Mytilus edulis: one gene and its partner. Each later gene encodes a partner of the first gene's protein in a complex. Links are inferred from orthologs where the notes say so. Each region holds a gene or a part of one and is shown on either strand. Other genes may lie near its edges. The genes, in order: exosome complex component RRP4-like and exosome complex component RRP41-like.

Region 1 (3,931 bases):
TATTTCTATTTTCTTTTCTACATCAGTAAAATGACCCCTTGTCTGAGGGAGGGTTGTTCTCAACCTGATACAATGTAATTACAAACACAGGTCAAAGTACAGCCTTTTACACAGGGCTTTGATACAGAACAAACAGCAAGCTATAAAGGACCCCAAAATTATTACATGTAGCGTACACAATTCGAACAGGAAAATCAACGATCTAATTTATATATCCAAACGAAAAAATACCAATGATCAACATCAACAAACGATAACTGCTGAACGACATGCTCCTGAATCAATCAGGACAGGTGCATAAACATGCAGCGGCTATGGATAGTTTTGTTTCGCGAGCATACAATATAATTGCAGTTGAAGGCAAATCCTTCAGAAGTTCTTTGTACTTTATTCTAACAACGAACATCTTTTGATAGGGAATATAAGTAAGGGGGAAAGAAACCAATTTTTTGTTCTTCACGGAAATACCCGCTGTTATAACTTTTTATCGGAGCACTCCAGGTTTCATGCTGAAACAAATATTCTCACAGATATTTACACAGTGTGGTGGGGTGCTTTTATGTTTAAAATCATTATATACAGGTTACACTGTGATTTAACAAATGTTGATATCTTTTTATAATATTTACAAAAAAAAAACGGTGCGGGAAATGGACATGATTACAATTCCGGATGCGGGAAGCGGGAATATAAAAAAAATAAAAAAATTCTGTTTTGAAAAAAATAGGTGCTGGCGGGTCCGTCGAACAAGGGATCAAATTGGTGTGGCCTTATAACCCGGTTACATTTTTCGCAATAATTAAAACATTGAAATAGTGCTTGCCCTAAGTCAGGAGCCTTTAATTCAGTGGTTGACATTTGTTGTTGTGTAACCTCTTAGCTTTTTCGCTATTTTTTTGTGAATAAATTAGGTTGTTTGTTTTCATGTTTGCATTGTTTTACATTTGTCACTTCGAGTGTCCCATTTCTCAAGTACTTTTAATTTTATTGCCGACTATGCAGTATGGGCTAATCTAGTCCAAATAAATATGAAGTCTGACAAGGCTATTTAAATTTAATCCTGGGACGCCTTCCTACGACCGAAGCATTGCCAGACGTCTTAATTATTTGGACTAGGGCTAATCCTATACACCTTTATTGCTATTTGTCCGCCATTGCTGGAAATCACACAGGTTCCCGTAAAAATTTGACGTCATAAAACAAAATATCTGACGCCACAATGGAAAAGTGATTGTTGTTGACGTCAAAAGTTCAAGCGGCCGGCCGGGTCAGCCGGGATTAGCGATAAGGTGTATTGTTGAAGGCCCTACTCACTAGCCTACTGTAACCTATGTTGTTATTTTTTGTGTCATTTGGCATCCTGTAGTGAGTTGTGTCATTGGCAATCATGCCTCTCCTTCTTGTTTTTATATGATGCTGGGAACAGTATATCTATGTTCCTGTATGATGTAACTGTGAAAAAACTTTGTAAATGTGATTTGACAATCATGACAATTGAATGGTATTGTATAAAGTAGATTTTAATTACCTCGGGTTCATCTTGCATGAGCAGCTCCTCGAGCTTGCTAGTACGAGCTTCTGCAACTTGTTCTTCTGTCATCTTTTAATTTGATGAAATTATACAACGTGATTCTTCATTGAAAATGAAAGGTCAAATATTCCGACTAAAATTTCGATGATCCTCTGGATTTTACATAAGATTTCACGTCGTTGTCCTCAGAACGTTTGGAAGTAACCAGTTTTTAATCTTTAAAAATAAAAACATAAACGATGAGAGCTGTAAACAAACCCGCAAGGAAGCAGCATGGTTGATATTCGTGTTGTTGGAGCCAGAGATCGTCAAAAGCAAGAGTTCACAGAGGAAATATCGAACCTTGTGTGTCCAGGCGATGTCATTACTACAGATACTGGTTTCATGCGGTAGGAAATGGATGACAATATTTGAACAACATGAAATGAACATAAATTTTATTTGTCGATTATTTAAAATGAATAATTTAGAATTATTCATTTTGGCTGTCTAAATCATTTAAAAAAAATCAGTATAATCATTCCCATTTATACACCGGAAAGAGGAGAAGGCAGTATAGTTATCAATATTTCACTTCACTGTTATTGTAGTCCTAATATTGAAATTTTATAGACCTTATCGCTATTTGGAAATCTAGGCTGCGCCGCTTGACCCAAGAATCTACGCCTCTTGAACTTTTGACATCATACAAGAGAGTTATAATGGAGGTACCAGACTTAGTAACCTTCACTATAGATTATTGTAAAAATTCTTGCCAAATGTGGCTAACGGTAACTTTTGGTTCATGACAATAAAATGTACCCTTTCATTTAGACGATAAAAAATCGACTGCTTTTGAGGAATGTTATCAGGTCCGTTCCCGCTCAATACACTGTCATACCCTACACGCTTACACCTCACATGTTCGCCCCTGATTTTTGTTTGTATGTAATACAGTGATCGTCATTATGCAGGATTAACTAGAATAATGTTTGTTTTGTAAGTACTTATTAACAATTCCTTAATTACAGCAGTGCTGATTGTCAATTATTAAAATACATTTTTGGTGCAATATAACATTATAGTTTTCCCGGTCACTTGCTCAGCATTGGAACAGAAGTGACGAAGCACCTAACGTACAAATGGTGTTCACTAAAACCAGAGTTTTTGACGACAATGCATCAAACTCGAAAGTTGTCTATTTCGCGACTGGGTGACATTTTTTTCAAAATGCCAGTACCTTGTGTTATATAATCATGACAACTAAAGGTATACAGTAAAAAAAATTCTGATACAAGTGCCTGTATTGAAGGTGTATTATTATTCAGGGACATTTATAATGCGAAATTTCAGCTCTTTTTGTCTCCCTTAAAAACTTTTTAAAAAGTAACGATTTGGCCTTTATATGTACTTGAGAAATAATTATATTTTATATTTTATTGGCATAATTTCAGTGGTCATGGAACGTATATGGAGGACGAGAAACTTCATGCTTCAGTAGCCGGTGTTGTGGAGAGAGTCAACAAATTAATATGTGTAAAACCTCTTAAAACAAGGTAAACATTAGCAATTTATTGGTCAGATTATTTTCACTATTTCAACAACAGAAATAAAGAGAGGAGGAATGAATGCAAATAAGACAACTCTCTATCTAAGATTTTTTTGCTTTAAGGTGTATAATTTTTCAGGTACATGTATATTGCCCAAGTTCAGCTCTTCTTATTGTTAAAAGTAAACAATTAAAGGTCAAAGTAAGGCCTTAACACAGAGCCTTGGCTTACACCAAATTGTAGCAAGTTATATAAAGGCCCCAAAATGACTAGTGTAAAACAATTCAAACAGGAAAACCAACAATCTAATCTATATAAAAAACAAAAAACACTTATGAACCACATCAGCAAACAACAACCACTAATGAAATGTTCCTTTAATACATTGTATATCTCTATGTCAATTTTTCATTTCAAGGTACATATGTACTGTACTAAAAAAGTTTTTTGTCAGTCATGTCGAAAGAGAATAGGATGTTGTAAGCCATGTTTACAGCTATTTTTCTTAGTCATAAGAGAGTTGTTTCATTGACACTCATCTTTAATCTATAAATATGCAAAACAGTGACAGTACTGTCCCTTTGATATACAATGTTTTTCTAAGTCTATGTTACACATCATGTGTAGGTTATTTCATGCACATTAACACCTTCACCCTTGATTGGTAGGTTTATAGAAGTGGTAACACATAATTATTTTGTTAATCCATAGATATAATGGTGAAGTTGGAGATGTTGTGATTGGGAGAATTATAGAAGTGGGACAAAAGAGATGGAAAGTAGATACCAGATCAAAGTTAGATTCCATATTAATGTTGTCATCAGTTAATCTGCCAGGAGGAGAACTTGTAAGAATCATTTGTCCTTTTAAA
Region 2 (3,931 bases), on another chromosome or scaffold:
TTAGATTTTCGAAAACAATTTTCACGGAACACTTATTTATGATTTCAACTTTGACTTTTCACCTAATTCCAATATCAAGTTTAAAAACAACAGACCATGGTTAGTTAGTCGGATAAAACAACCGTACGATTGACAAGATATCGACACGCAATTACGACTACATCGGTTACTGTAGTTTTGTTTCTTTGTGGTTTATAGACATATCGTTTCATTAATCGGGAAAGAAGGACAAAATGGCGGAACGCAGAGAATTAATACCCTTAATTTAAAATCGATGGTGATCGCTTATCTAGCGGAATAAAACTTTAATATCTATGAATTTGAGCATTTTTATACAGAATGAACATAATATCAATTTTTGATTTTTTTACGAAGTTTCCCTTTAATACATTTCTATATATATGGTCTTTTTTTTCAAAAATATTCATTATACATGTAATCTCATAAATTCGTATATAATTTTAATAATATATATAAAGTGTTTTTTTATTAAAGTAAAAAAATAACAATCTACTAATCGTAGTCCGAGTTCGTTCAATATATTTCTGCATATAAATAATGGTAGGCCGAGTTTGTTATAGTCCGAGTTTGTTATAGGCCGATTTTGTTTTAGTCCGAGTTATCCAGCAGCGGACTCGCACTATAACTGTATAAGTCTTTAACCAAGAAAGAATATAAACATTTACTGAGACAATTTACCAAAAGTAAAACTCCATTATCTGTAGCAATTGCTACTGTGCCATCTTCCGACCAATCTAGAGCATTATAACTAGATATTTCGTGAGGAAAAAGAATTTTATCCCCTCCCGCCATCTTGAGGAGAAGTCCGAGTTCGAAATGATAGGTCTTTATTGATTGGATAATATCTCGATCTTAACCAATCAACGCTTCTTTTACAATTGTCGAGTTCAATTTCCATGCCGTTGTAAATATTGGGAGCATGGCAGGAGTGAATCTTTTGTCAGATCAAGGCTATAGAATAGATGGCAGAAAACCAAATGAATTAAGACGGATCCAGTGCAAATTAGGTTATTGATTTGTAATTTGACGCACTTCGTTTTGGATACACGAATCACTAGTCCGAGATTACTCTGACGTCCAACGGCTGTTTTCCCAGCTTGTCTGGCAAAACAGCCGTTGGACGTCAGAGTAATCTCGGACTTACGAATCACAAGAGGCCTTTAAATTCTCCATGTCATGTTTTTTTTTTAGAAGTTACGCCCCTTTGAAATTATTTGCTTCAATTCACCTCTGCAACAGTTTGTCATCACAACTTCTCTGAAACTACACAACAGAATTTCATGAACCTTTGTAGATAATAAGGACATACTATGCAGATGTGCATATCGACTGGAAATTATGATTCAATTTTTTTTCTTCAGTTACATTATTTTATTTCTGTTGGGACGTGGGGTATCTGAGCGCGCTCACTAAGGTTCTTTGAATTATTCAATTTTCTTCTGTCTGTATCTGTATCTGTATGTGTACGTTGAAGATACCAATTCTGGCTTTTACTCAACGGGAGAGAGAGACACCTATTGGCGGTGTTGGAGAGCAGCCTTGAAGCTCTCAACTGTATCTGCGCATACAATACGATCCTCTAGTTGGTTCCAATGTAGTACACTCTTGACGAAGAATGAGTTCTTATAGGGATCGGTGTTGCTTGGAATAGTATCTAGTGCCTTAGAATTGTTCTTTACTGAATTTGTCACTATATTGGCACATACAAAATTGTCAAATGTTTTAGGTTTGATTTTCCTCTTGGGTTTACTTTTAACAAGAAAATCGTCGGGATTAATAGCTGGGACCAACCCCTCAACCACTTTGTACAGAAATACTAGCCGTTGACTTGTTCTTCTTGTTTGTAGGTTGTCTAGTTCTAACTCGGCTAGCATTTTGGTGACCGACCCCTCTTCTCTAGACCTATAGTCGCCTGTGATGAATCTAGCTGCTCTGCGTTGTATTCTTTCCAATTGATTTATATCATGTTGTGTATATGGGTCCCATATTATGGCACCATATTCCATAGTTGATCGTACTAATGATATATATGCGGTCTTATTGCAATCTTTTGGGCAGAAGCGTAGATTTCTTCTTAGAAAGCCGAGTGTCGAATTGGCTTTCTTGGCAACGTTTGAGATGTGCGTGGTCCATTTTAGGTCTTCTGATATTTGTAAGCCTAGATATGGGTTGTGTTGGACTTGTTGTAGTACATGTCTGTCTAGGCTGTACATCTTCTGGCTTTTATTCTTAATGCTAAGTATATAGCACTTCTTTGCATTGAAGCGCATGCCCCAGTTTGTGGCCCATACTTCTAGGTTTTGGAGGTCTCGTTGTAGGAGTGTGTGGTCATGTTGACTATTTATGTTCCTGTACAGGAGGCAGTCATCTGCGAAAAGTCTGACAGATGATTGTACTGAATCTGGAAGGTCGTTTATGTGGCAGAGGAAGAGAAGGGGTCCTAGTACTGTACCTTGTGGTACACCGGAGTCAACTGAAGCTTCTTCTGATTCCTCCCCATCTACGACAGCTTTCATTTTCCTTTGGGTTAGGAACATCTCCAACCATTTGTTTAGTGGTCCTCTTATACCGTATTCGTTCATTTTGTGCAGTAGTTTGTTGTGCGGCACAGTGTCAAATGCTTTGGAGAAGTCCAGTATAGCTACATCAATTTGTTTTCCTGCGTCGAAGGCTTTCATGAAGTCGTGTAGTGTGACTAGCAGTTGGGTTTCACAGGAATAGCCTGACCTGAAGCCATGGTTCGTCATTCGTCATGCAGGGTACCCCATTCCTACCCTCATGTACATTTTGATTTAAATTATGTAACAAGACCCAAGTATGCCTGAATTAGACTTTTAGTTCATTTTAAAGGCCAACCTAGGCTTATAATTTTGAGGACAATAAGCTTGTGAATAATTCTTAAACTACAGGTATCACTTATCCTTTTGAAGACAAGAAAATGACAATAACAAAAAACAAAACATAAAATAAAAAGATCAAACGATAAAGTGTTATTATGAAAGTTGGTTGTAGTTGGAAGTTTAAGGACTTCATAACTTGTATATCATTATTTCATTGTAGTTAGCATAACAATTTTTTCTCTCTTTCCTTCAGGTGTATTCAAGCAGGCAGATGGATCAGCATACATTGAACAAGGAAATACAAAAGTGCTGGCCACAGTCTATGGTCCACATGAAATCAGAGGGAGCAGAGCAAAGCTGTTACTTGACAGAGTATTGGTTAACTGTCAATACAGCATGGCTACATTTAGTACTGGGGAGAGGAAACGTCGACCAAGAGGTGACAGAAAATCACAAGAAATGACAATGCATTTAAAACAAACATTTGATGCAGCAATTATGACAAATTTATATCCACGATCACAGATTGACATTTTTGTTGAAGTTCTCCAATCGGATGGTGGAAATTACTGTGCTAGTGTAAATGGGGCTACTCTTGCTCTGATCGATGCTGGTATTCCAATGAAAGACTTTGTTTGTGCTTGTTCAGCAAGTTTTGTAAATGATAATCCTATTGCTGATATAAACTATCTTGAAGAATCTTCAGGTGGACCTGAATTAATTGTTGCAACACTACCAAAATCTGACCAGATAGTTTTTCTTGAACAGAACTCGAGGCTCCATGAGGACAATCTGAGTAAAGTTATTGACTTAGCAGTGAAAAGTTGTAAAGATGTTTACACTGTCTTAGACCAAACAGTCAGGGATCATGTTAGTGAATTGTCTAATTCACATGGATGGGATCATTAAAATAAATTGCTTCATCAAAAAATGTCTCCTTTACTGGCTGGTATTTGTGTGTTTCAGATTTGTTATATTGTTGGGTCGGTGTATCTTACATTAACATACATGTATACCCAGATATGCACGGCCGCATTCTTTTTTAATTAGAGATTGCTCCCCTTTTAAAA

What was found.
Region 2: exosome complex component RRP4-like (region 1) and exosome complex component RRP41-like share a complex: the UniProt entries of both Caenorhabditis elegans proteins name them as parts of the RNA exosome complex. The link is inferred for Mytilus edulis from reciprocal best matches to the Caenorhabditis elegans genes exos-2 and exos-4.1.

Annotation. Positions count from the first base shown.
Region 1 is NC_092345.1:3,686,668-3,690,598, reverse strand, and holds the start of exosome complex component RRP4-like, read left to right. Parts: upstream 1-1,677; 5' UTR 1,678-1,804; coding exon 1,805-1,920; intron 1,921-2,964; coding exon 2,965-3,066; intron 3,067-3,771; coding exon 3,772-3,907; intron 3,908-3,931. Other genes in the region: uncharacterized protein, read right to left, coding at 1,529-1,600. UniProt on the Caenorhabditis elegans protein: Non-catalytic component of the RNA exosome complex which has 3'->5' exoribonuclease activity and participates in a multitude of cellular RNA processing and degradation events. Involved in regulation of antisense ribosomal siRNA production.
Region 2 is NC_092351.1:28,691,008-28,694,938, forward strand, and holds exosome complex component RRP41-like, read left to right. Parts: upstream 1-885; 5' UTR 886-940; coding exon 941-1,028; intron 1,029-3,114; coding exon 3,115-3,770; 3' UTR 3,771-3,792; downstream 3,793-3,931. Other genes in the region: general transcription factor 3C polypeptide 4-like, read right to left, coding at 700-813. UniProt on the Caenorhabditis elegans protein: Non-catalytic component of the RNA exosome complex which has 3'->5' exoribonuclease activity and participates in a multitude of cellular RNA processing and degradation events.